Linked DNA regions of Macaca fascicularis. The protein of the gene in region 5 purifies or fractionates together with the protein of the main gene of each other region. This does not show direct contact. Links are inferred from orthologs where the notes say so. Each region holds a gene or a part of one and is shown on either strand. Other genes may lie near its edges.

The links.
Region 1: the proteins of TMEM192 (region 5) and ACP2 purify together in Homo sapiens (affinity purification with mass spectrometry; 3 studies listed by BioGRID and IntAct, with this or other methods). This does not show direct contact. The link is inferred for Macaca fascicularis from reciprocal best matches to the Homo sapiens genes TMEM192 and ACP2.
Region 2: the proteins of TMEM192 (region 5) and LAMP2 purify together in Homo sapiens (affinity purification with western blotting; 5 studies listed by BioGRID and IntAct, with this or other methods). This does not show direct contact. The link is inferred for Macaca fascicularis from reciprocal best matches to the Homo sapiens genes TMEM192 and LAMP2.
Region 3: the proteins of TMEM192 (region 5) and CTSD purify together in Homo sapiens (affinity purification with western blotting; 3 studies listed by BioGRID, with this or other methods). This does not show direct contact. The link is inferred for Macaca fascicularis from reciprocal best matches to the Homo sapiens genes TMEM192 and CTSD.
Region 4: the proteins of TMEM192 (region 5) and LAMP1 purify together in Homo sapiens (affinity purification with mass spectrometry; 3 studies listed by BioGRID and IntAct, with this or other methods). This does not show direct contact. The link is inferred for Macaca fascicularis from reciprocal best matches to the Homo sapiens genes TMEM192 and LAMP1.

Annotation. Positions count from the first base shown.
Region 1 is NC_088388.1:18,594,479-18,600,370, reverse strand, and holds the start of ACP2 (lysosomal acid phosphatase), read right to left. Parts: upstream 3,546-5,892; 5' UTR 3,532-3,545; coding exon 3,418-3,531; intron 2,879-3,417; coding exon 2,783-2,878; intron 2,472-2,782; coding exon 2,385-2,471; intron 486-2,384; coding exon 333-485; intron 224-332; coding exon 125-223; intron 46-124; coding exon 1-45.
Region 2 is NC_088395.1:126,742,949-126,748,771, forward strand, and holds the start of LAMP2 (lysosome-associated membrane glycoprotein 2), read right to left. Parts: upstream 3,349-5,823; 5' UTR 3,221-3,348; coding exon 3,157-3,220; intron 1-3,156. UniProt on the Homo sapiens protein: Lysosomal membrane glycoprotein which plays an important role in lysosome biogenesis, lysosomal pH regulation and autophagy.
Region 3 is NC_088388.1:1,693,597-1,698,818, forward strand, and holds part of CTSD (cathepsin D), read right to left. Parts: intron 4,653-5,222; coding exon 4,493-4,652; intron 2,816-4,492; coding exon 2,692-2,815; intron 2,265-2,691; coding exon 2,146-2,264; intron 726-2,145; coding exon 493-725; intron 1-492. UniProt on the Homo sapiens protein: Acid protease active in intracellular protein breakdown. Plays a role in APP processing following cleavage and activation by ADAM30 which leads to APP degradation.
Region 4 is NC_088391.1:103,727,786-103,733,007, reverse strand, and holds part of LAMP1 (lysosome-associated membrane glycoprotein 1), read right to left. Parts: intron 4,634-5,222; coding exon 4,512-4,633; intron 1,249-4,511; coding exon 1,029-1,248; intron 190-1,028; coding exon 31-189; intron 1-30. UniProt on the Homo sapiens protein: Lysosomal membrane glycoprotein which plays an important role in lysosome biogenesis, lysosomal pH regulation, autophagy and cholesterol homeostasis.
Region 5 is NC_088379.1:170,008,624-170,014,524, forward strand, and holds the start of TMEM192 (transmembrane protein 192), read right to left. Parts: upstream 3,955-5,901; 5' UTR 3,951-3,954; coding exon 3,771-3,950; intron 3,307-3,770; coding exon 3,181-3,306; intron 1-3,180.

The DNA.
Region 1 (5,892 bases), on a different chromosome or scaffold from region 5:
CAGGTCTGTAAGCCCTGTCTCGTTGGCCACCATGTCCAGAAATTGCTATGAAAAATGGATCAGGATCTCAGTGCTTTTGTGGGGAAAAGACAGTGTGGCGACCTCCACCTCTGCCCCTACTCACTGCATTCCGAGAACTCTCGTTCTGATACTCTGGTGTCTTCCGGGTCTCATTCTGCAGCTGCTCATAACGGGGACATGGGCCCAACGGGAACTTCAGCAGCTGTAGAGCGAAGCAGGGAAACAGGCAGTGGGAAAAGGAGCCTGGCATCAGCAGGCACACGGCCACAGCTGTCCCCTCACCATCCCAGGGAAGGGCTGGCCACTCTCACCCTGTCCTCAGTGATGGGCACAGTGTGCACAGGGATAGGCTGCCACGAGATGTTCGGGTTGAAGCGCTGCATCCCGTTGGGAGGGAAGAGTCCAGCCAGGTTGGCCTCAGCACTCATGAGAGTCCGGTCAAAGTCTGTGCTTCGCACATAAACCTGCAGAGATAGCAACACAAGTCACGTGTGTGTGTGTGTGTGTGCGCGCGCGCGCGTGCGCGCACGTGTGGTGGGGAAGTTTTGGTCACCCTGGAGTCGTGTGTGTGTGCGCACCTGCGCACGTGCGTGTGTGGTGGGGAAGTTGTGGTCACCCTGAAGTGGAGCCGCGTGTGTGTGTGTGTGTGTGTGTGTGGTGGGAAGTCCTGGTCACCCCAAAGTGGAGCCCCGGGGGAGAACCTGTTCTTGAGGATCACCCAGCAAACTGTAAACCTACCATGCATCTGGCCCTCACCCCCCTCTGGCCTCTGGCCTTCCCCATCCCCCAAACACTCCACTGGGGGTTGTCACCACTCTGTGAAGAACTCCTGTGGGAATGGCCTTAATTGAATACCCCTTTCTCCCAGTCAAAAGTGCTGAGTCAATCAGTAAGGCTCTCTGGTCTGTCTGGTTTCATAACAACACCTCTCTCCTTGTCTAGATCAGGGTCCTTGGGGCAGAAACTGGCTCCAGTGATGACCCTTAGAGACCAGGGAGAAAAAATAAGATAAAGGTCTGGGCCTGGTGTCTCACGCCTATAAACCCAGCACTTTGGGAGGCCAATGCAGGAGGATCGCTTCAGGCCAGGAGCTCGAGACCAGCCTGGGCAACATAGTGAGACCCTGTCTCTATAAAAAATGACCCAGGTGTGGCGGGCACCAGCTACTTGGGAGGCTGAGGCAGGAGGATCACTTGAGCCTAGGAGTTTGAGGCTGCAGTGAGCTATGATTAAGTCATTGTGCTACAGTTTGGGTGACAGAGTGAGACCCCTTTAAAATATACGTATATATTTTAGGCCAGGCACAGTGGCTCATGCCTGTAATCCCAGCACTTTAGGAGGCCGAGGCGGGCAGATCAGCTGAGGTCAGGAGTTCGAGACTAGCCTGGCCAACATGGTTAAATCCTGTCTCTACTAAAAATACAAAAATTAGCTAGGCATGGTGGCATACACCTATAATCCCAGCTACTCGGGAGGCTGAGACAGGAGAATCGCTTGAACCCAGGAGGCGGAGGTTGCAGTGAGCCAAGATCATGTCACTGCACTCCAGCCTGGGCAACACAGCAAGACTCCATCTCAAAATAAATAAATAAATAAATAAACAATATTTTGAAGAGCTTATTCAGAGATAGTGGCTCATGAAAAGGGAGGAGGAAACTGGGGAAGGACAAGCTCAGGACAGAGCTGGGCCTTAAGGGAACAATTAACAATATCTAGGGACTCTTGACACAGCTGAGGCTGACAGTGGTAACCAGAGGAATAGCTTCCCCCATCCCTGGGGTAGGGCAAGGACTCAAGGAGCAGGCACACTCGCCAGTCCTCCCTGATGTGCCCTAGGAACGTAGCGTGACCTGGCGTGGCAGACAGGGCTCGAAGACCTCATCTTGATCAAGGAAAGACAAGCCCTATCTACGTGCATCTTCCCCGCTGTCTTTCATCTTGGCCCTGTCTGGTTTATCATCAGATACCCCCACAACATTCTAAGCTCCATGAAGACAGAGATCATATCTGTATGGTGCACCACTGAATGCGAAGTGCTAGCATAGTTCTTGGCCTTTAATGGGTACTCAATAAATGTCTTGGATGGAAAGCCTGTGATTTCAAAGAGTCAGAAACCACTTTGCCAGGCCCGCCCGTAAGGCTGAATTTGGATGCTTAATCAGGTTTGCCTCTTCCTAGCCAAGCAGGGGCAACTCAGCTCCTAGGGTTTTGTTCCAGACAGCTCTCAGATGCCTTTTCCTGTAGTTGTAACCAAAAATACAAGAAGGAGGCCAGAGTGCCCAGCCTCAGCCTTAGGCTCCCTGAGAGCAAAAGATGAGGGCAGCATACCCCATTCCCCTTGCCTCTGGAGCTCCCAAGCTTACCTCTTGCCGGTGATAAGAGGTGTTTAGGAAGCCATGATAGCGCTGCCGCAGGGCCTGGCCCAGCTCCCAGTGCTGTAGCATCCCCTCCTGTGGGCAAACCCAAAAGTTAAGAGGGTCTAGAGGGAAGGAGTGGCTCACAAGCCCCATGGGGTTTAGGCCCTGTTGCTTTCCAGGTTTACCCTTTGCTGGAGTCAATTAATCTGATCCCAGAAGTCTTTCATTAAGTGGCCAGTCATGCACGGCAATATCATGGGCACAGAGGTTAAGGTTATGAAATCTGGTCAAAGTCAGCACCCATATGGGAAAAGGCAGTTTAGTAAGGCCCCAAGTTCTGTAGCCTGCTCTAGACATCACTCATTCTACAGCTCATCCTGAGGAAAGGCTGGCTTCTGACCCACCTTGGTTAATTGACCAAACCCCTGGGGCCATTCTTCTTCCTGGTAGGGGTCCTTGGGATATGTCTTCACTGGTGAACGGTCTCCATGGCGGTACAGCTGAGGGAAGAAAATGGTTTGTCTATAGGTCAGAAGCATCTCGATAGGGACCCAGAGCCTACCTTTTGCCCCATGTTAGGGAAGGAAGTCTCATTCCCTTTGGGAAGCCTACTCGCTGCAAAAGACCCCAGTTAGGAGTCAGTCACTTCTTCCAGATTCCAGACACTCTAACTTGGCTAAGCAATGCCACTGGAGACCACAGGCAAAGCCAAGGTACAGGTGGTAAGGGAAAAGAGAAGTGAAAGCAACATATGTGGTGGGGACAACTGGGGAAAAAAGACAACCAAAGGCTTCTTTAGGGATGAGTCTTAACCATTCAACTACTTCCCTGTCTCAGGGCAGACTCACCCCGACCTATTCGGTCACCCTGACCCCCATAACCCAGGGCTCCACGTCAATCCTGAACCCAGTCTCCCAACTACACAGGCCAGTCGTCCTCTCCTAAACCAGCTGTTCCTTCCCAAGATCCCCGACCCCCACCAGCTGGCCTTTGCCCTTCTAGCTTCAGGGAACTCTTTGGTGACCCCATTTCTCATTACCAAGGTAACGAAGCGCAGACTCCGGGCCTGGGTGGGCGGCATCACCATCAGGTTCGCGCCGAGAAGGAGCTGGAGGAGAGCCGCACGGCTCCAGCCGGACCGCTTGCCCGCCATCACCGTTGTAATCTATGCAGCAAAGAAGCTGGAACCCGCTGGGTGGCACCTGCAAGCAGCCGCCCGGACGCACTCGTAAGGACACACGCCGGAAGTGCGCTCGCCGCCATCTTACTTAGGGACGAGCTGGGGTTGGGGGAGAAGGCGCAATCTCGGTGGGAATGCGTGCAGGAGGGTCGCGACCTGGCTGTGGCGGGGGAGCGTACGCATGTAGCCCGACGTGGCGAGGCAGACAGGTCTCGAAGACCTCATCTTGATCAAGAAGGCATTAAGTTCGCGTTTGCCTCTGCTAGGAGAAATCCCTTACCAAGGTGGCGCTTGCAGTGGGCGGGACCATGTCCTGGAAAGCGAGCGTCCCCTCCAGCCGGGGTGCTTCCGGGCTTGACCCCATAGCTAGAGCGGGTGCAGAGTTGAGGCGAGGGACGGAAAAGCAGAGGTCGCTTCTCTCCATGCCCCTGCCTTTGGGGTGGATTGAGCCCTGGCCCTGTTTTCTAGGAGACGTTTTGCTTGGGGTGCAGGGCATAGTATATAAACAACCCTTTGGATTTCCTGTGTCCTTGAGGTTGCCTCCAGTCTAGCCTACCGTTCCTGCCCCGCACGAAGCTTCAGTAGCCCTTTCACTTTCCCTTCCAGTCCTTTCCCTGACCTCCCTCCCCTCCACTTCCAAGTTTTAGTTAATTAGAGTCAAGACGTCATGCCTCTTCCCAAAGGAGTTGTGTTGCACAGGATGTTCAGACTTTCCAAACCCAAAGCACTGAATCCCTAGGGGAGGAATTTCAGACCAGTGGGGAGGTATTTTGAGGTAAGGGGCAGGCGCATATCATAAAGTGGGAGTACATGCGGTTTACACAGAATCAGTGGCCCTCTTGGCATTGACCATTAGGATTCAGGTGCAGCTAGTTTGGCCTCAGGACTTTGTGACTAATATGACGGTTGCAGAAGGTCAGATCGTAGGTCCTGGGGATGTTTTGATTCAGATCTGCCTACTGGAAGCAAATCTCCTCAGATCTTTGGGAAACAAAACTGATCAGGCTTGGGCTGGGCACCGTGGTTCCCCTGTAATCCCAGCACTTTGAGAGGCCGAGGCAGGCAGATCACCTGAGGTCAGGAGTTCGAAACCAGCCTGGCCAACGTGGCGAAAACCCATCTCTACTAAAAATAATAATAATTTAAAAATAGCTGGGTGTGGTGGCGTGCTCCTGTAATCCCAGCTACTCAGGAGGCTGAGGCAGGAGAATCGCTTGAACTCGGAAGGTGGAGGTTGCAGTGAGCCGAGATAACACCACTGCACTCCAGCCTGTGCGACAAAGCAAGACTCTGTCTCAACAAAAAAAAAACCTGATTAGGCTTGGTGTGGTTGCTCACGTTTGTAATCCCAGCACTTTGGGAGGCTAGGGTGGGAAGATTGCTTGAGCCCAGGAGTTCGAGACCAGCCTGAGCAGCTTACGAAGAGCTCATCGCTACAGAAAAAAAAAAAAGTTTAAAAATTAGCTGGGTGTGGTGGCACACACCTGTGGTCCTAGGTCCTCAGGAGGCTGAGGTGGGAGGATCACCTTGAGCCTGGGAGGTTGAGGCTAAAGTGAGCCATCATGGTGCGACTGCATTCCAGTCTGGACGGCAGAGCAAGACTGTGTCTCAAAAAAACAAAAAGAAAAGAAAAGAAAGATCAGAATTAGCTGTCCTTATTTTGCCCTAGGACTCCAGATTCAATTATTTATATATACTTCAGGATTTAAACTTTGCTTCCAAAGTTGTTGTGGAGGAGGCTGAGAAGCAAATAGAGTAAGAGCTGAAGCCTGGGTAGCCAAATAGTTCTTAACCTTGTTTAATCACAAGCTGACATGAAAATTTTGCACCTCTCCTCCAGAAAAATGTTCACACATGTAAACACGCACATGGAATTTTGCATATAATCCCAAATGGTTCACAAAGACCATTTACTAGAAGTTTCATAAATCAGCATTTCTGAATACCTGATTTAACCTAGTCGTCTTACTTCACAGTTTAGGAAACAAATCTAAAGAGAGGAAGTGACTGGCCCAAACTCACAGTTGAGGAGAATGGATTAAAAGTCTAGTTTTGTGGTTCTCAGTTAAATAGTCTATAATGGGCTGCTTCTTGCAGGCTACTCAAACTGCATTACTAAACTGTAATTGGTGATCTCGAAATACTTTCAATAAAGAGGTATCTGTCAAAGGAAACCTTTTCACATTAGTGGGACTAAACAGGGCCTAGGCCGGGCACGGCTCGCACCTGTAATCTCAGTACTTTAGGAGGACAAGGCAGGCAGATCACCTGAGGTCAGGAGTTCGAGACCAGCCTGGCCACCATGGTGAAACCCCATCTCTACTAAAAATACAA
Region 2 (5,823 bases), on a different chromosome or scaffold from region 5:
CCAAGCAACTGCTAAATTCTTGAGAGAAAAAGCCATATGGGAGGACTTTGGGCTCCACACTGAACCAGTAGCCATCAGAAAATGCAGCTGTATAGAAGAATGGTTTCTATTTCATCCTGGAACCTCTTAAAAATCCGATCTAGGTACATTATTAATATTTACTTTTCCAAATCCTGCTCTGAACTTGGAGGTGGAGGGGATCAATCTTGGAAATTTTCCAAGAGGATGAATCTAGTTAGTCCCGATCAATAAATGGCAAACTAGCAGATGAGCTGATGGGTTCTTTTATGTGCTTCTTTTTGCATGTTTATTTTCTGCAATGAGTAAGCACTGCTTTTGTAAAAACAAAACAAAAAAGCTTTCATTAAAAAACAAAAAAAATTTAATGACATGAAAGCCAACAAGTAGGACAACTATTATTTTTTTCACTTTCCCCAAACAATAGCAGTGTTGTATTTGTGCACAGATTCAACTGGCAGGGAACTACTGATTAACAGATGCCTTGGTCAGATGTGTTCTAGTCACTGATAAGGTACTTTCCATTGTAAACAATCCTTTCTTAGGGTCAGTTGGCCCTCAGTAAGTGCTCCAAGGGACAGTTAAGGCTTCGAATTAAGTATTCAAGCAAAGCCTGCCTCAAGGCCACCTTTCAGAAGTGCTACAGAAGAGTTTCCTGCACCCTATGAACAGTTGGACTACCAAACGTTTTGGTGTCAGGACCCCTTTACTTTCTTATCCACTGAGGACTTCACAGAGGTTTATGTGAGTCATATGTATTGGTATTTAGAGTATTAGAAATTAAAACTGAGAAATGAATAAAATATAAGAACATCAGAGTGGTGAGGTCATCACATGTTATGTAGCCACTGGTAAACTCCGCTGTACACTGGTGAGAGGATGAGCGTGAAAAGGACAAAGAACAAATACTTTCTTTTTTTTTGAGATGGAGTTTCGCTCTTGTTGCCCAGGCTGGAGTGCAGTGGCGCAATTTTGGCTCGCCACAACCTCCACCTCCCGGGTTCAAGCGATTTTCCTGCCTTGGCCTCCCAGGTAGCTGGGATTACAGACATGTGCCACGACACTCGGCTAATTTTTGTATTTTTAGTAGAGACTGGGTTTCACCACGTTGGTCAGACTGGTCTTGAACTCCTGATCTCAGGTGATCCACCCGCCTCAGCCTCCCAGCGTGCTGGGATTGCAGGCGTGAGCCACTGTGCCCAGCCGAAAAGGACAAAAACCTTCTTAACATTATTCCAAAGGTTTGATTTCATAGACCCATGAAAAGGTCCTTGAGAGTCACTGAATTAGATAATCAAGAACCCTTCCAATACTATGGTTTTTGAGCAGGGTTTATCAATGACATTTTCAGGAAGATAATTGTTTGTTGTGAGGGGCTGCCCTGTGCTTAGTTAGGATGTTTAGCAGCATCCTTGGCCTCTACCCACTAGATGCTAAAAGCAATCCCCCAGTTGTGACAACCAAAAATGTCTCCAAAAGTTGCCAAATGTCCCCTGGTGGAGAATGACTATTCCAGGGTGTTGATTTTATTCTACTGAAATGTGAATTACAAAATGTATACCTCTCACTGCTTTCTCAGACCCCTAATAAGTCTATTTCTTCCCCACTTCCATCTGGGTCTGTTCTTTATGTTATTTTATTAAGTCACAAATAGCAAGAGCAGGTGGGTAGCAAAAAGCACAGCATGAATCAAGTCAGGAAGAGACACTAGTCAAAGTTCATCTTCAGGCATTAAAGCTGTTAGGGACCCACTGCCTATTAGGGCACAACACAATCAGCGAACATTCACCCAGCCATTTATTTATTTATTTATTTAGAGACACAGTTTCACTCTTGTCACCCAGGCTGGAGTGTAATGGCACGATCTCGGCTCACTGCAACCTCCGCCTCCTGGGTTCAAGCGATTCTCCTGCCTCAGCCTCCCAAGTAGCTGGGAGTACAGGCATGTGCCACGACGCCTGGCTAATTTTTGTATTTTTAGTAGAGACGGGGTTTCACCATGTTGGCCAGGCCGGTCTCGAATTCCTGACCTCAGGTGAGGCCACCCGCCTCGGCCTCCTAAAGTGCTGGGATTACAGACGTGAGCCACCGCGCCCGGCCCCATCCAGCCATTCTAATGAGGCCCTGGTAACAACCCAATCCTTAGCAAGTTGTCTACCTGCTCCCTGCACCCCCCCAAAAAATGAGGTAATAGGCTAGTGTGATGGGGAAGAAAGAAAACAAGAGACTCTGAAGGCAAAGAGGTAGTCTACCAAACTCAGTCTATCAAAACCTCTCATCTGGGAGGCCCTCCTAACTGAAACGTCTGGGGATTTTTTTGTCAGCGTCTGGCTGGGAGGAAGTAGCAAAACTGGGAGAAAATCGACATCCTTAATACCTCCAAGTCAGATGTGCACTCCCCATCAAAGTTCCCACCGAACCCCTTAGTCTCCAGAGGCTGGGTCCAAGTTTTCTTTCCTGGAAATTGCCCCAGCTACCTTAGGCTCCTTCGCCCTTAAAACTATGACTACCAAACTCAAACCCAGCATCACTCCTAATCTCTTGAATCACCCCTTCTTCACAGCCTCAAATTCCAACCTTCAAAATGCCCAACCCTGTCCCTGCCCCTGCCCCTCAGGCTCTACTGTCCTATCTGTTCCATCTGTCCCCCACCCACACTCTTCCCCCAAGCTACTCCAGGCAGGCATGGTCTCCTCTCTTAATTTCCTATATCACCCCATAGTTTTTCCACCATCTTCAAAACTCTTCCCTGATCTCAGCAAACCAGGACTCTCCTAATTGTCTCTGGCGCCCAAAATCTGCATGTACCACCCTCCTACGCTCACTCCTCAGTGTTTTCCCCAAGTTACTCTTTCCACCCTGACCCTCTCCACGCTTCACTCCTCCCAGCCTACTCCCTCGGCGTCCACCCCCCCGTTACCGGCCCCTTCTTACTCTCCTGGGCCCTTCTTCCCCGCCATCCCTCTGTCAGGCCTTCTCTAGGTCACCGCTCGCCTCCTCGGGCCAATCGCCGCCGCCCAGTGTCAGTTGCTGAGCCTCTCACCCCCCGCCCCCTCGGACCAGTCTTTCAGGTTGTAGCTTTGAACTGGCGCCCCGGGCCCAGGCGGACAGACTAATCGGGAGGGCCCGACAACTCACCCAGGACGAGGCAGACCAGAACTAGCCCTGAGCCCGGAACCGGGAAGAGGCGGAAGCACACCATGACCCCGCAGAGCAGGCGACGGCGGCAGCGACGGCGGTGGTACAACAACAGCTGCAACACCAGGGAAAAGGCTCGCTGGACCTGGGTCAAGAGCACGGGTGACCACCGACCACAGCCTTGCAAAAGCCAGGAATCGGCGCTTCAGCGCGAGTCATAAGACTAGGGGCGGGGCTCTTTCTTGCTTACAGCCAATCTCCGCGCTTGAAAGCGGCGAGAGGGGTGGTGATGTAGAGGCCGGTGGGCGGGGCAACCACGCCCTGGCTTTTTGGTTCACAACCCTTCCTATGCGCCTAAGAGATATGCGCGGACGGCATTTTCTTTTTCTTTTTCTGTCTTTTTTTTTTTTTTTTTAAATTTTACTTTAAGTTCTGGGATACATGTGCAGAATGTGCAGCTTTGTTACATAGGTATACATGTGCCATGGTGGTTTGCTGCACCTATCAACCCTTCATCTAGGTTTTAAGCCCCACATGCATTAGGTATTTCTCCTAATGCTCTCCCTCCCCTTGGCCCCCACCCCCTGACATGCCCCCGTGTGTGTTGTTGCCCTCCCTGTGTCCATGTGTTCTCATTGTTCAACTCCCACTTATAAGTAAGAACATGCAGTGTTTGGTTTTCTGTTCCTGTGTTAGTTTGCTGAGGATGATGGCTTCCAGCTTCATCCATGTCCCTGCAAAGGACACGATCTCATTTTTTTTTTTTATGGCAGCATAGTATTCCATGGTATATATGTGCCACGTTTTCTTTATCCAGTCTATCACTGATGGGCATTTGGGTTGGTTCCAAGTCTTTGCTGTTGTAAATAGTGCTGCAATAAACATACGTGTGCACACGTCAAACGGTATTTCTGGTTCTAGATTTTTGAGGAATCGCCCCACTGTCTTCCACAACAGCTGAACTAATTTACATTCCCACCAACAGCGTAAAAGCATTCCTATTTTTCCTCAGCCTCGCCAGCATCTATTGTTTCCTGACTTTTTAATAATCGCCATTCTGACTGGCGTGAAATGGTATCTCATTGTGGTTTTGATTTGCATTTCTCTAATGACCAGTGATGATGAGCTTTTTTTCATGTTGTTGGCCACATAAATGTCTTTTTTGGGAAGTGTCTGTTCATATCCTTTACCCACTTTTTTGATGGGGTTGTTTTTTCTTGTAAATTTGTTTAAGTTCCTTGTAGATTCTGGATATTAGACCTTTGTTAGATGGGTAGATTGCAAAAATTTTCTCCCATTCTGCAGGTTGCCTGTTCACTCTAATGCTAGTTTCTTTTGATGCGCAGAAGCTCTTTTAATTCGATCCCATTTGTCAATTTTGACTTTTGTTGCAATTGCTCTTGGTGTTTTAGTCATGAAGTCTTTGCCCATGCCTATGGCGGACGGTATTTTCTAAGGCTAAGGAGAGAGGAGGAACTTTTGAGGGCCGTAGATAGTAGACTATTTCCGTTTTGGCTCCTTGACAAAGAAGAGAAAAATTTTGCGGGCACAAAAACGGTTGCTAGGCATCTCAAACGTAATACATACAAAAATAATACATGCTTATTCTCCGAACACTGTTGTTACCTATGCAGTTCATGCTGTGAGATGGACGAGGGAACCTAGAGGATAGTATGGAGTCACGGACCATTGGAACAAGACATGATCTTGAAGTTCACCTAGTTACAGCACCCTGTTCTCAGATGGGGGAATTGAGCTCAGAAACAAGAAGCATATTTTTTAAAACACAGGAAGAAAAAAAAAAATGAGAGAAATAAAACAGAAGAATAAAGGGGGAAAAATAGAGATCTCTATTCCCACTATTAACACTATTATATATATTTACACATATATATACACACACCCACATCTACACTTCCAGGTGTTTTTCCTATGTACATACACACAAATATTCTGTAATGAGTTAATACTAAGCATACTGTTTGCTATACTTGATAGATGAACAGACAAAACCTAAAATATTCAACAGATGAAAGCATTTAAAAATGTCGAGTTGGAATAAAGCACTGATTCTCAAGTGTTAGTTTCCAAAAGAACCATCTGGTTTTTTTTTGTTTGTTTGTTTGTTTTAACATACGGATTCCTGTACCTCATTCCCCAGAGATTCTGAAACAGTAGGTCTGTGGCAGTCTTATGAATCTCTTCTTTAACAAACACCCCAAGTGATTCTGATTCTGTGGTCCATGGACCACACTTTGAGAAACACTAAAAGAGAGCTTCAAAATCATCTAGTCCAGGAGATTTTAATCTGGAGTCTATGTATGAGTTTAGGCAGGATGGGAGGGGTGTCAGTGAATCCTCAGAAATTACATGCAACATTTATGTATGTGTATTTTTGTGGGGAAGTTTGTAGTTTTCACTAGTTCTCCAATGGGACCTGTGACTCCCTGCCCTAACCAATATTAAGGTTAATAAACCACCCTAATTCAAACATTAAGAACCACTGATCTGTCCCACTATTGTTTGCTTTAATGTAATTAATTCCTGAAAGTGAGAACATTTGTCAGTGAATGTTTACTATCATTGGTGAAACTAATTTGTGAACAAGTGACCGAACACAAGACTAATGAACACTGCATACAGTGTTAGTCATTGCCTTTAGCAAAA
Region 3 (5,222 bases), on a different chromosome or scaffold from region 5:
TCGCTGCGTGGTGCCGGGGACCCACACCCACCCAAGTCACCTCCCCAGGGACTCCCAGGCCCCTGGGCACCATGCCCCCTCTCCACCATCAGCAACCCGGGACCAGGACCACACATGCCCATCACCAGGTCCAGGGACCAACGGGCCAACTGAACCAAGAGGAACTGCCATGACCCCCGAACTGGGTCTGTTCTCATAGGAAGGAGGCCCAGCTGCCAAGGTCCCAGGACCCACAGCCTGGCCTGAGCTCCTCCCACTGGGAGACCCCGGCCAAACAGCTTTCTCTGCGATCTGCTTACTCCTCTGCAGAAGGGCGGCCAACCCCTGCCTCCCGGACACCCTGAGGTCAGAGGTCAGGAGCTCTGGCCACAGCAGCAGGGAGGGGGCGGCACTGAGTGGGGGTGCCCGGGAGGCTCCCAGCCCAGCCCCGCCCTGCCTCCCAACAACGCTGAGCTAGGAGAGCAGGAGGGGAGAGGGAACCCACGCGCCCACCTGTTCAGGTAGAAGGAGAAGATGTTCTGGTCCACCAGCTTCTGCTGCATCAGGTTGTCGAAGACGGGCAGCACGTTGTTGACGGAGATGCGGGGATAGGCCATGCCCAGGATGCCGTCGAACTTGGCTGCGATGAAGGTGATGCCTGGCTGCTTGATGGCCTCCCCGAAGACCTGCCTCTCCACTTTGACACCGCCCAGGGCAGCGGTTGATGACGCTGACTTGCAGGGCACCTGCAGGCCAGGGCAGCGTCAGTGGGTCGCAGACAGGCTGAGCCCTACACCCCTCTCTGAGCATGAGGCTGCGCTACAAAACCCAGCTCAATGGATACCCCTCATCTCACACACGATGGGGCCCAGAGGGCCCAGCAGAAAGGGCTGGAAACGGTGAGCTGAACACAGCGGGGCATGGGGACGCGGGGTGAGGTGGAGCCCTCTTCGTGGGAGACTTTGGGGCTTAGTTTTAAGGAGATGGGAACCAGGCAGGAGCACAGACGGGGAGACCCCTTGCCCCACTCCCTGCTCTGACCTCTTGTTCCCACCACCACCAACAAGCAGGTCCTGCTCCTGCTCCTGCTCCTGCCCTCAGCCTTGGGAACAAGAGACAACCCGGGCCAGGAGCCCGAGAGACGGGGAAGCCGCCGACCCCAACCCAGACTCACAGCCGTGCTGCCCCCGTCTCCCTCTCTGACTGTCCCCTCCCCCAGCCCTGGATGAGGCTGCAGAAAGAGAACAGGCCAGAGCAGGATGTGGGAAGGGAACGACAGCTTGAGGCTGACACGGGGCGGAGGAGGCGGAAGAGGACAGACGGGGCAATTTCCCGTTCAGGCTGAGCGGGGCCCAGAGGAGAGGGCTCTGAGGAGCCCCTGTACAGACCTGGACTCCAGCCCAGCACGGACTGTTAGGAGCAGGTCCAGCTGGAGGAAGGGGCCCTCTTCCCAGGTCCCTTGGCCTGCAGGGGGGCTCTGCTGCCCTCCTGGCCTGCTCCGGAGCTGGGGGCTGTGTCACCGTCCCACTACTCCTGAACCCCTTGCGGCCTGGCCCACCCCCAGCAGACAGCTCCGAGGTGAGAATTCACTGAGGCCCAGGCAGGGTGACAAGGGCCAGCTCGCCCTCTCCTTGGGCAGGGAGCAGCTCTGCACAGGGCCCTGAGGATGGTGGAGCGCAGGCAGGGCCCCCAACAGCCACTGCTGCTCCCCCTCCCTTACCCTCCCAGGCTCCTGCAGGTGACTCTCTGCCAGCAGCCCCCACAGCGGGTTCCTGGCAATCCTCCCAACCCCAAGCCTCCCCAACCCCTTGGCCTGCTGCAAGGATCCTGTGCAGCCCCAGGCCCAGCCCTCAACACCTGCTGGCACCTCAAACCCAATGTGCCAAAAAAAGCCCAATCAATCTGCCTTGTCCTCCCTCCCACTCACTGTGGCCTGACTCCGGGGACCCCTGCCCCTGCAGCCCCCAGGTTCGAGGCTCTCTCTCCAGCCTGCACATGACCAGGCCCATTCCCAGGCCCCTCCTCATCCTGCTGACCGCCCCGGCCACCTGAGGGCTGGGGTCGGCCTGGGATCACCGCGCCCTCCCTTTCAACCACATACCCACGGTGGGTGAACCGCACACCCTGGCACCCTCGAGTCCCGGGAAAGGCCCCAGAGGGACTCACCGACACAGTGTCCTGGCTCAGGTATCCGGAGAGGCTGCCCGAGCCGTAGTGGATGGCAAATGAGGTGCCATTCTTCACGTAGGTGCTGGACTTGTCGCTGTTGTATTTGTGGTGGAGCCCTGCCCCGGGCGAGAAGAGGGCCCGCCGGTCATCCCGCAGCCCACGCCACGGCCACGGCCCTCCCATCCCCCTGCAGTCTACCATGGAGCCCGCTCCCCCCAAGCTGCCTCCCCAGGGTGGGATTTGGAGGGGATCCGAGGCCCACCATCGTGCCAGAGCCCCAGGACTGTGGGCTGTGACCCCGGGCCTCCCTCCCAGCCACAGCTGGCTCCCTCCGCGGCCACCCCAGCCCCAGCGCTGCTGAGAGCAAGACCACAGCTGGTGGTTCACCCAGAAAGCCAGTGCCTGGAGCAGGGTGGAGGGCCGGCCTGGCTCATGGGGCCAAGAGGTGGGAGAAGTGCATTGCCCAAGGATTCCTGAGGCAGCCCTGTGGCGACATCCCAAAAGGGCAGGACCTGGGAGACGGGGCCGGGGTACGTGACTCACAGCAAGCGATGTCCAGCAGTTTGCAGTGGATGGAGGGGACCCACAGGTTGGAGGAGCCCGTGTCGAAGACGACCGTGAAGCACTGGGGAGGCGTCCCGATGCCGATCTCCCCGTAGTACTGGGCCTGGCAGGGGACAGGGTCCGTCAGGGATGGGGAGGGGGCCCTCTCTCCCCACCGGGCCTCAGAAGGCCCGGCTGTCCCCAGAGCCAAACCCTGAAGCCTGAAGGCCCATGCTGGAGGGACGAGCATCATGGGGCCCACAGCTGCCAACAGCCACCTACTCCAACCGGCTCAGCCTGCAGGGAAGATGGGCCAGGTCCCCAGCCCTCAGTCCTAATGCCCACAGGTGCTTGGGGTCTCCAGACCTCTGGGTTCTGCCACCTACCCCTGCTCGACACATGGTGAGGCTGAGGACTTCCCCACGGAAAAGACAAGTCCGGAGGTCAATCCAGGGTGGGGACAGATGTGGCCCTCGGCCTGAGCCCCAGGTACAGGAAGGGCCTGCCTGGAAGACTCCCCTGGTGGCCTGGGGTCCAGGGCCTGAGAAGGGAAGTGACTTCCTCCCCAGGTTGGGACCGTATCAGGGTCTGATTCTGGGTGTCTCAGTGCCTGCCCTGCCCTCCAGGGTGAACCCCAAGCCTGGAGGGCTTCCAGGCAGAGGGGTTCAGCTGGTCAAGGGGAGAAGGTAAGCCTTAGTCACTGCCTGCCCAGCAACCCTTCCTTAATGGCCCAGGGCCTCAGTTCTCCCATGTGTACACAAGGATAGCAGGGACAGGTGGGGGTGCTGACTCAGGGATCAGGCAAGTACAAGGGGTCCCACGCCCACTGAGCATCTCAGGAGGCAGAGAGTAAGAGGGTCCTGGAGTTTGGGGTCGCCTGGGCGCCCGCTTCCCCCAGGAATAGAGCCTGGGCCACTGTCAGCCACCAGATTCCTGGCACCAGCCCAGTCCGATGTTTCTCCGACCGCCTGGCTTCACAGAGCAGCAGCAGCTGCTGACTCATGGCCCCACAGAAGTGACCACTGGCGGGGGGACACTCAGCAAATCTCCATGTGCGCGTGTGCATGTGTGTGCCTCGGCGTGCTCTCGCGCTAGGGCGATCAGGAACTGGCCGGTCGGGACCAGGCACACGGCACCCGGTTCCCCCCAGGCCCCCTCCCCACAACCCGCCCAGTCACATGCCTATGAGTCTTGGGCTTCCTGTCACAGCCAGGACTCGGGCCAAGCAGGACAGAGGGCAAGGACCCCCCGCCACAGTGGGCCAGAGCCCCGAGGCTGGACAGCAGGCCCTGGCCTCGAACTGACCCCATAGAGCTGGGACAAGGCTGACCAAGCCCCAGCTTGCTAGGTGGCTTCCAGAGTGCTCCCCTTTGGATCCTGCTTCCCCCTGAAGGAGTCGTGGGCACAGGAGGGGCTGCTGCCAGAGGAAGAAGATGGGGAGGGGCTGGAGAGGGGCCACGAGTCACCATAGGCCTCCTGGCAGGACAGCAATAAAGACAGGCTCCAGGGCAGCCGGCCACACCCAGGCAGACCCAATGACTGCCCCCCGGGCGAGCTGGCACTGAGGCCCAAGGCCACCCTCAATCACCCTCCCAGGCCCGAGATCCTGCAACCACAGGGGCCAGTGGCAGGAGGTCCAGGATGGGGAAGACAGGAGTGTGGCTGAGCCTGGACGTCACCCTGGCCAAGTGAGTCACTCAAACTGTGCCCCTGAGAACAGGAGGCGGGAGTGTCCCCACAGTCCCAGGGAGCTCTCTGGAGAGCAGCTCCGCTCCCAGCAGGGCTAAGACCCCATACTCACGTCCATGTAGTTCTTCAGCACCTCGGGAATGGGCCCCTCGGTCACGGCCGGCATCGCCTGGGAGTACTTCGAGATGGGGCCTTTGGCAATCAGGTCCTCCACAGGGCCCCCCATCTCCGACATGGTCCGGCGGATGGACGTGAACTTGTGCAGCGGGATCCTGTCAACCAGGGGTTGGGGCATATCAGGGAGGTCCTCCCGCCTGCCGGCCGAGGCCGCTAACATTGCACATCCATCTGGAGGCCCCTGGGGAATCTCGAAGTCACCATAGCCAAAACCAAACTCCTGCCTGTCACCTGGAAACTGCTGGCCCACCTCCTCCGTCAGTGAATGGCAACCCATCGCCCCCCCGAGGTTGCACAGGCCACAGTCCTAGGAAGTGGCCACCCACCACCCACCTTGGCCCCACACACCCAACCTGGGGGCCAGTGTGCCCACCCCTCCTCTCCTCAGCCATTCTAGAGGCTCCAAAGCCCCCAAGGGCCTCCAGTCCTCCCTCTGCACCTGCTCTGGTCTCCTCCAGGATGGTGGCCAGCATGGCTGCTCAGGGTGCTGGCGGGCACCTGTCACTCCTGCCCAAAGTGCTCTGAGGTAGCCCACTGTACCCAGCCCCATCACACCTGCTCTCCACCCAGAGACCAGCACGAAGGTGGCCCCACCTCCAGGCTGGCACTGGCAGCTCTGCCTGACCTCCTAGGTGGCCTCCTCTGGCCATGAGATGGGCCCTCCA
Region 4 (5,222 bases), on a different chromosome or scaffold from region 5:
GCACCAGAGGGCCAAGGGTCAGTGTCCTACCTTCCCTGCTGAAGCTGCTGTTGGAAAGGTATGCCTGGATGGTGGCATCGTGGAGCGTGACGGTCACGTTGTTCATGTGGACCTGGGTGCCACTAACACATCTGTATTTTTTATCTATATCTGCCCTGATGTCAGTTATAGATTCCACAGTCTTGATTTCTAGATTTAAAAAGAAAAAAAAAATCACAATTGCAAACCACTTTTAGTACTTAGTTTATGTGTTTTTAATTTTAGCCCTGACGTCAGTTACAGATTCCACAGTCTTGATTTCTAGATTTAAAAAGAAAAATCACTTGTCGTACTTAGTTTATTTTATGTGTTTTTTATTTTTTTTGAGATGGAGTCTTGCCCTGTCGCCCAGGCTGGAGTGCAGTGGCGTGATCTCGGCTCACTGCAACCTCTGCCTTCTGCGTTCAGGTGATTCTCTTGCTTCAGCCTCTTGAGTAGCTGGGATTACAGGCACGCGCTACCACGCCCAGCTAATTTTTGAACTTTTTGGAGAGAGGGGGTTTCACCACGTTAGTCAGGCTGGTCTCGAACTCCTGACCTCATGATCTGCCCGCCTCGGCCTCCCAAAGTGCTGGGATTACAGGCGTGAGCTACCATGCCTGGCTGCGTGTTTTTTAATTTTTTAGAGAAAGTCTCACTCGGTCACCCAGGCTGGAGTGCAGTGGCGCCATCTTGGCTCACTGCAACCTCTGCCTCCTGGGTTCAAGCGATTCTCCTGCCTCAGCCTCCCGAGTAGCTAGGATTACAGGTGCCTGCCACCGCACCTGGCTTATTTTAGTATTTTTAGTAGAGACAGTGTTTTGCAATGTTGGCCAGGCTGGTCTCAAACTCCTGACCTCAAGTGATCTGTCTGCCTCAGCCTCCCAAAATACTAGGATTACAGGTGTGAGCCACTACACCCAACCTGTAATTCTCAGGTAAAAGTAACTTTAGACAATCCTCCAACCCAATTTTCTATCACTTTATAATCGGCCCACTTTGGTTCTTACCTTTGGAGCTTGCATTGGGGAAAAGGTGTGTGTCTGACAAGTTATAAACAAAACTCATGAGCTGGACGCTGTAACGAGTTGCATTTCTTGTGAAATTGAGGGTTAGTGTCTGTCCTCTTCCAAAAGCGATCACGAGGCTGGGGTCAGAAGTGTTCTCTTTGCCACAGGAGCTGCTGTTGAGCACTACTTTGGCATCTGATGGCAGGTCAAAGGTCATGTTCTAGAATAAACACAATTAAATATAACCCAATTGGGATACAGGTTATTAAAAGTTCAAAGAGAGATTTTCTGTAAGTCTGATATAAACTTATACTCCATTTCCAGCTATCACTACTGAGATACTCATTTTTAATATAAACCAAAGAAAGGTTAGTATTACATGTCAGTAACAGACTGAAAAGTATTTCCGGTATAAGAGACAGTTGACTTAATAATTCTTATAATCAAAAATTTGCAGCTGGGCACGGTGGCTCACGCGTGTAATCCCAACACTCTGGGAGGCTGAGGTGGGGGGACTACTTGAGCCCAAGAGTTCAAGACCAGCCTGGGCAACATAGCAAGACCCCATCTCTACAAAAACAAAATAAACTAATTGTGGTGGCATCTGCCTGTAGTCCCAGCTACTCAGGAGGCTGAGGCAGGAGAATCGCTTGAGCCTAGGTTTGAGGCTGCAGTGAACTACGATTGCACCACTGCACTCCAGCCTGGGCAACACAGCAAGACCCTGTCTCTAAACAGAACAAAACAACCCCATAAATTTTCTGTTAATATAACAGAATTTAAAGCGTCTTGAAATTGAAATAATTCAAACCGGTTTCAGGGTGAGATATATATTTGAGAAAAGCTATCACTACTTTTTTGCTATAGAAATATTCATTTAAATAATGTTTCCTTAAACAAAGGAAGTGTTCATAGCAGAAATGTTTAAATTTACTATTATAAGCAAAACAAGCAACTGGAAAACCACCTAATGTTCATCAAAATAAACCAGATAGGTCAAATGAACTACAGTGAAGCAGTATACTAATGTGGGCCAAAAAAACACCACGAAACTACAGAGGTGATAAAGACATGCATAACAGCATAAGGTGACCTCATTTGTGAAACATAATTTACAACAAAATATTTTAAAAATCCAACCACCAAAACCAAACATTAAAAAAGTGATGTAGAAATTAAATAAAAAGTGCTTGGAGACCAGGTACGTTGGGGCACGCCTGTAATCCCAGCACTTTGGGAGGCCGAGGTGGGCAGATTACCTGAGGTCAGGAGTTCGAGACCAGCCTGACCAATGTGGAGAAACCCTATCTCTACTAAAAATACAAAAATTAGCTGGGCACATGCCTGTAAACCCAGCTACTCGGAAGGCTGAGGCAGGAGAATTGCTTGAACCCAGGAGGCAGAGGTTGCTGTGAGCCAAGACCGCACCACTGCACTCCAGCCTGGGTGACAAGAGCAAAACTCTCAAAAAAAAAAAAAAAAAAAAAGTGCTTGGAGGCCAGGTACGGTAGGGCCCGCCTGTAATCCCAGCACTGTGGGAGGCCAAGGTGGGTGGATCACTTGAGGCCAGGAGTTTAAGACCAGCCTGGCCAACATAGTGAAACCCATCTCTACTAAAAATACAAATAATTAGCTGGCCATGGTGGCACGCACCTGTAGTCCCAGCTACTGAGGAGGCTGAGGCACGAGACTGAGTCAAACCTGGGAGGCGGAGGATACAGTAAGCCGAGATCTTGGCACTGTACTCCAGCCGCCTGGGGGACAGAGTTTGACTCTGTCTCAGAAAAAAGAAAAAAGGCTTTGACATACTTGTCAAATTTGAGACTGGACTTTTTTTTTTTTTTTTTGAGATGGTCTTGCTCTGTCACCCAGGCTGGAGTGCAGTGGCAAGATCATAGCTCACTGCAGCCTCGACCTCACAGGCTCAATCAATGCTCCCACCTCAGCCTCCCAAGTAGCTGGGATCACAGGCACGCTCCACCATGTCTGGCTTTTTTTTTTTTTTTTTAAAGAGATAAGATCTCGCTGTCTTGGATTTTTAAAATATTCTGTTATTACAAAAGGCTTTAATCATCCCAAATAAACACAAAGCCATTTCAACAAAACTACTAAGGAACATTTTAATCAAACTAGTACAGTCTTTGTAGAACTGCATGTCAAACAACCATTTATATACATTTCTTGGAGTATAATAATTTCTCTAAAGTAAATCAGGCCGGGTGCGGTGGCTCACGCCTGTAATCCCAGCACTTTGGGAGGCTGAGGCGGGCGGATCACAAGGTCAGGAGATCGAGACCATCCTGGCTAACACGGTGAAACCCCATCTCTACTAAAAATACAAAAAATTGGCCGGGCAAGGTGGCAGGCGCCTGTAGTCCCAGCTACTCAGGAGGCTGAGGCAGGAGAATGGCGTGAAAGCGGGAGGCGGAGCTTGCAGTGAACCGAGACTGCGCCACTGCACTCCAACCTGGGCAACAGAGTGAGACTCTGTCTCAAAAAATAAATAAATCAAAGTCACATTCACAGAGCATGAAAAAGATTCAAGACTTAATTACTGATAGGGGAGTGTGTTAACAAATTATGGTGAACTAACATAATAAAGTATTACATTATGATCATAAAAGACAATCATGAAGAAAACTAGAGCTGGGAGCGGTGGCTCACCCCTGTAATTCCAACACTTTGGGAGGCCGAGGCAGGCAGATCACTTGAGGTCAGGAGTTTGAGACCATCCTGGCCAACACGGTGAAACCCCATCTCTACCAAAAATACAAAAATCAGCCAGGCATAGTGGTGGGCACCTGCAGTTCCAGCTACTCAGGAGGCTAAGCAGGAGAACTGCTTGAACCCAGGAGACGGCCAAGGTTGTGGTGAGCTCAGATCATGCCACTGTACTCCAGCCTGGGCGACAAAGCGAGATTCCGTCTCAAAAAAAGAAAAAAAAGAAAACTAGAAAAATGTTCATGACAGGCCAGACGCAGTGACTCATGCCTGTAATCCCAGTTCATTGGGAGGCTGAGGCGGGCGGATCACGAGGTCAGGTGATCGAGACCATCCTGGCTAACATGGTGAAACCACAACTCTACTAAAAATACAAAAAATTAGCCGGGCGTAGTGGCGAGTGCCTGTAGTCCCAGCTACTCGGGAGGCTGAGGCAGGAGAATGGCATGAACCCGGCAGGCAGAGTTTGCAGTGAGCGGAGATCGCGCCACTGCACTCCAGCATAGGCGACAGAGTGAGACTCCGTCTCAAAAAAAAAAAAGTTCATGATAAACGGTGAGGTGCAGCACATATAGAAGTTTGTTACCGTGCCTGTGGCTATGGCACATGACAACACAGGTTACTGACAACGCCAGAAGGAAATACGCAGATAGGAAAAGTACCATGTTTATATGGGGCCATTTTTCAAAGACTTGGTTGAAATGTTAAAAATCATCTTTCCACACACACAAGGGAAGCACGAAGTGCCCTGGTGTTTCCTACCTTAGGGCCACTCTTGGTGTCGTAGTTCACTGAGAAGGCAGCAGAGAAGTTGGCCATTATGCAAGCGGTCCCGTTGCCATTTTTCACCATAAACATTGCTGCTGATGCACAATGCGTGAGGCCTGTCAATTCCAGGGAAGACAGAGACCATCAAAAACTCTCCAGAAAACACGACTGAGTATCCCCAGTTTCCACAGCTGTAGCAGTGATGGGTTTTGTTACAAGATTCCACAAGATTCCACTGTTTCTCTTTTTTTTTTTTGAGACGGAATCTCACTGTCACCAGGCTGAAGTGCAGTGGTGCAACCTCGGCTCACTGCAACCCCCACCTCCTAGGTTCAAGCAATTCTCCTGCCTCAGCCTCCCAAGTAGCTGGGACCGCAGGCACATGCCACCAAACCCAGCTAATTTCTGTTTTTAGTAGTGACAGGGTTTTGCCATGCTGGTCAGGCTGGTCTTGAACTCCTGACCTCAGATGATCCACCCAAAGTGCTGGGATTATAGGCGTGAGTCACTGCACCCAGCCTCCACAGTGTTTCTTAAATCCAATGAAGAACCAGACACATGGATTACACGGCCAGTTCACCTGGTGCCCTGTCCCTTGCGGATACTGTTCTGGAACTGTCATCTCTAAGCCCATCTGATTGAGTTTGCCAGCCTAGTCTTTTGCTATTTAGCGCTTTATTTCAGAACACTTATCAAGAGGGCACA
Region 5 (5,901 bases):
CACACTCTTTCAAGGCAGTAAGCCGGGGCAGTGATAGGGTTCATAGCATTTGTTTCCCATCTCTGATATTGCTTACCCTTCGTCGTCTGATGTCCGGTATCTCACAAAGTGTTGTATCATATGTTATATCAGTTTTTCGATTGTTTCAGGCAGAATGGTAGATCTATTCCCAGTTACTCCATGTTGGCTGGGAATGGAAGTCCCTACTGAACTCTGTTACATCTGTGTTATAACCTACCGTATTAAGCACATGGCATTGAAATTGTCAGAATAAAATGTGCTTTACAAGGGCAAAGACTCTTTTATATTATGTCCTTTGTGCTTTTAACACTTGATACATAGCAGGTGCTAAAGTGTTCAATATGTGTGTTGAGAGAATGAAAGACTGCTCAACTTCCTTGTATGCTTCAGACCTGGGACATTTTTATTTATTTATTTACTTTTGGGACAGAATTTCACTCTTGTTGCCCAGGCTGGAGTGCAATGGTGTGATCTTGGCTCACTGCAACCTCTGCCTCCCAGGTTCAAGCGATTCTCCTGCCTCAGCCTCCCGACAGGTTGGGATTACAGGCACGTGCCACCATGCCCGGGTAATTTTTGTATTTTTAGTAGGTACTGGGTTTCGCCATGTTGGCCAGACTGGTCTCAAACTCCTGACCTCAGGTGATCCGCCCACCTCAGCCTCCCAAAGTGCTGGGATTACAGGCGTGAGCCACCACACCTGGCCAGACCTGGGACATTTAAACAAAGCTAACATTGAAACCTTCACTATAAGACAATAATCTACTTTATTTCCTACTATATTACTTTCATGCACCCTCTTCTCTCGCCTAAATGAGCTTTCTATAGAGTCCTACAAATATCCTCCCCTATCTTTTTTCAGAATTCTATGCATCTTTCAAGGTCTTAACCAAGTTTATGTTCTCTATAAAACTGGCCCTGTTAAGTGTTTTCCTTCTGCTTTAAACTCCTATAAAACATATTGCCCATAATACTCATTTGGAATATTTCTTACGCTGCCTTATATTGTTTTCCTTTTCATGTGTGTATCTTTTGTTTTTCCTAACTACACTGAAGGAGTTGGGGACTATACTATGGTTCTTCTCTATGTCACTTAGGAGTATTTACTTTCCAATGAATCCTATAGGAAATATGCAGCATAACCATATAAACAGCACCCAGTCATTCTATGAACTTACCATCTGCAAGTGAAGGCTGAGGGGAAGAGGACTCCTGAAGTCAAATGTTTTTTCCATTTCCATTATTAACTACATATATCCGTTGTTTTTGCCCACATGGTACCTCTTCCCTCTTCTGTGACAGTAACTCTATTTCCTTTGAGGACCCACTGTCTACTTCTGCATTAAGTCTTAGTGGAAACATCCTTCAATACCCTTCCTCCTCCTCTGGTCTAGGAGTGGTCATGGAACGAAAAACAGTTGGGTGAATCCAACTCTCTCCATGAACAGTAAAAGAAAGATCATGAGGTCAGGTGCAGTGGCTCACGCCTGTAATCTCAGCACTTTGGGAGGTCAAGGCAGGCGGATCACCTGAGGCCGGGAGTTCGAGACCAGCCTGACCAAAATGGAGAAACCCCGTCTCTACTAAAAATACAAAATTAGCCAGGTATGGTGGCGCATGTCTGTAATCCCAGCTACTTGGGAGGCTGAGGCAGGAGAATCACTTGAACCCGGGAGGCGGAAGTTGCAGTGAGCCGAGATCGCACCATTGCACTCCAACCTGGGCAACAAGGGCGAAACTCCATACAAAAAAAGAAGAAAGATCATGGTTTAGGCAGATTCATTCCAGGGTAGACCCTGAAAAGGACTCCTGTCACTTCAGTGCCTTGAGATGCCCTTGTTTGGGTCCTTTCAGAGGCCTTGGCATATACTCGCCCTATAGCCTTTCAAATAAATCTTTTTCTTAAATTAGTCAGAGTTGGTTTCACTGCCTGCAAACAATGAATCCTTACTAACACAAAGTCTTTGACTCAACTCATTTAAGTATCTGTAACTAAGGCATGGTCCAGAATTTTTAGCTTTTCCCTGAAGGCTAGAAATCATGTCTACGAAATACCAAAAGCAGGCAACTTACTCAGATCTAAAGTGACTCCAATATGTGGTTGGTGGCAAAACATTAATCTCTAATTAATTTTTATTTATTTTTATTTTTGAGACAGAGTCTCACTCTGTCGCCCAGGCTGGAGTGCAGTGATGCGATCTTGGCTCACTGCAATCTCTGATCTCTGCCTTCTGGGTTCAAGCGATTCTCCTGCCTCCCCAGTATCTGGGATTACAGGCCCCCACCACCACACCTGGCTGATTTTTGTATTTTTAGTGGAGACAGGGTTTTGCCATGTTGGTCAGACTGGTCTCAAACTCCTGACTTCGGGTAATCTGCCTGCCTCAGCCTCTCAAAGTGCTGGGATTACAGGCATGAGTCTTCCAGACCGCCCCCAGTCTCCAGTGTTTGAGGAAGCAGATTTCTAGTACTGTATGCATCCTACAACTAAAAGCTACAGATCCAAGAACCCTAGAGCAGCTTAGCATCAACCAAGAAGCACTTACTGCCTGTGTTTTTCTAAGAGTCTCTCATTTTCCTCTTACGTATTCGTTTTTTTCCATACATTGTCAGCTCATGAAGCTCAGCCTTAAAAACTCAGAAACAATGAATTTTGCTTTAAATATATATGAGTCTCAAATCTACTTACAGGTCTTACAGTTAATTTTCCATTTTCTCAACTGGAAAAAACAGAAAATTTTAGTTTCATTAGAAATTGTTTGGTCTTTATTTCATCAAGATTCACTGCACAAGAATCTAAGCTACCGAAGTGCTGGAACTGTTTCGTGTTTCTCTTCCTTTTCCTGATGCAGCTCATTCAGTGATAGGATCACAGTAATATTCCTACTAATTTATTAACCCAAATTAGTGCTTTAATATAACTGTCAACTTTGCATTTCTCAAGAGGAAAAATTTTATTACTTTCCAGTGGAAACTCCAGTTAATTCTGGGCATACATACATGTTTCCCCTAAAAACACCTTACGACACTGAAGCAAAGAAATAAGATTTTTGTAATTATGCTACCATTCTGTACTATACACGCTGTAAACTAGGCCACTGGTTTTTTTGGTAATCTGGTTTGAATCTATCAAAGATTTAAAAACCTCTGCATTCCTACCATGCTAAATTCAAAACAGCACATGACACTTTTTCTCTCGTATGGGTTTCCAGGAGATGATAGCCACAGGTCTGCGGGACGCTGGCGCCCGGCCCGAGCGTCGCTGTCACTCCAAGTCCACAGCCTCTAGAGCCAAGGCAAGGGACCCCACCAGGAAGGGAGATTCGCCCCCTGCGCCCCTGGGGCGTCCGAGCGGAACCCAGTGGCCCAGCTCCCAGAGACTCGCGGGGAGGAAAGGCTGTCAGGCCAGGCGCGCATCACGTGAAGCTGCCAGTTCCGGGATCAAAGACGTAACCCGCACGTGGGCTGGGCGCCAGCCTGGGACCCCCAGAGCCGCGCGCCCACCGCCCAGGACCCCACCCCAGCCTCCACCAGGAAAATTAGCCCGGAGTTAGCGTGTCGAGGATCCCAAGGGCGCCGGCGCCCTCCCATAGCCCCGCGCCCAGGCCTCCCCGGCACAGGCGGCGCCCCCTCCCGCCGCGGCCGCACTCGCCAAGGGTGGCTTCCCTCTTTGAGTCTCCGCCCCGTGCGCCCCGGCACAGGAAAAAGGGGATTCCGGGGCCAGCCGCCCGCCACCTCCGTGCACTCACGTCCTCCATCCTGCCCCCCGCCGCCATTTCCCGACGCCGGAGGCCGAAGCCCCGGCCAGCCCGGCCTCTCCACCGGGACCTAGAAGCCCCTGGCCGCGAAAATTGCCACCTTCTGGGACCTGCCAGGCCCCGCCCCAGACACACCCCCTCCTGCGTCCGTCCCGCCTCCGGCTGGCCCATCCCCGCCCCCTTAGCTCCGATTGGCTGAGATGGTGGGAGGGGCGTGCCGGCCCAGAAGACCTGGACTGTGGGTGCTGGCTACCGCCTGAACCACTTCGGTCCCTGGGGCTTCTGGCCGCAGCGGCTCGGTGCGCTCTTACCCAGAGACCTGGGCATTAAAGGATGCCTTCCTAGTCCAAGAATTTAACTATTTTCGGGCTCCACTTGCATATTTTAAGAACATTAATTTTTTTCGGTCTTGCCTAGTTTTTTTGTTTGCAGACACAGCTCTACGCCTAGGTAGAACCAGCGGTAAAATCCTCCACCAGCAGAGGGACAGGAGGAGAATAAAGATTCCAATTTCCATGACATATTTATAGATTTCTCCAATGGGAAACAAAGCACTTCGGAATGTTTACGGCGTTTGTTTATTAAGACAGAGTCTCGCTCTGTCGCCCACGCTGGAGTGGCCTAGCACGACCGTGGCTCACTGTAGTCTCGAACTCTTGGCCTCCTGGCCAGTTCTCCCACCTCAGCCTCTCAAAGTACTGAGATTACAGGCGTGAGCCACTGGGCCCTTGTTTCTTTTAAAATTGAATTTCAAAAAGAGAAAACTAAAATGACATTTTCTGAAAAGTTCATGATTGTAAAAATGTAAGCAAACAAGGAAATAAATTTTCTGTTACCAGCTCCCGGAGAGAACTTTGATATCAGTTAGAATGTATGCACTCATACATTTTTTTGGTGGGGCGGGGGAGATGGAGTTTTGCTCTGGCGCCAGGCTGGAGTGCAGTGGCGCCATCTTGGCTCACTGCAACCTCCACCTGCTGGGTTCAAGTGATTCCCCTGCCTCAGCCTCCCAAGTAGCTGGGACTACAGGTGTGCACCACCACGCCCAGCTAGTTTTTTGTATTTTCAGGAGAGACGGGGTTTCACCTTGTTAGCCAGGATGGCCTCAATCTCCTGACCTCGAGATCCGCCCTCATCGGCCTCCCAAAGTGCTGGGATTACAGGCGAGAGCCACCATGCCCGGTCCTAATTTTTGTATTTTTAGTAAAGATAGGGTTTCACTATGTTGGCCAGGCTGGTCTCAAACCCCTGACCTCAAGTGATCTGCCCACCTCGGCCTCCCAAAGTGCTGGGATTACAGGCGTGAGCCACTGCGCCTGGCCAGAGATTTTCTATTAAATAAAATAATGCATGTAATGCTCTTTCTACAGTGTTGTCTCTACAAAGCACTAAGCAAATGTTAGTCATTTCTTTCTTTTTTTTTTTTTTTTTTTTTTTTTGAGACGGAGTCTCGCTCTGTAGCCCAGGCTGGAGTGCAGTGGCCGGATCTCAGCTCACTGCAAGCTCCGCCTCCCGGGTTCACGCCATTCTCCGGCCTCAGCCTCCCGAGTAGCTGGGACTACAGGCGCTGCCACCTCGCCCGGCTATTTTTTGTATTTCTTAGTAGAGACGGGGTTTCACCGAGTTAGCCAGGATGGTCTCGATCTCCTGACCTCGTGATCCGCCCATCTCGGCCTCCCAAAGTGCTGGGATTACAGGCTTGAGCCACCGCGCCCTTTCTAAATGAGATTTATTAAGGCATTATTAACATACATAATCATTTTTGTTTGTTTTTTGTTTGTAAAGACAGGGTTAACTATAGGCTGGTCTTGAATTCCTGGTCTCAACTGATTCTCCTGCCTCAGCTTCCCAAAGTGCTGGGATTACAGGCAAGAGCCACCATGCCAGACCCGTTTTAATAATATATTAAAAATACGTTATGTAAGTAGTTCAGCAATTTTTTTTTTTTCTTTTGAGACAGAGTCTTGCTCTGTGGCCCAGGCTGGAGTGCAGTGGCGTGGTCTTAGCTCACTGCAGCCACCATCTCCCGGGTTCAAGCAATTCTCCTGCCTCAACCTCTCAAGTAGCTGGGATTACAGGCACCCACCACCACACCTGGCTAATTTTTGTATTTTTAGTAATA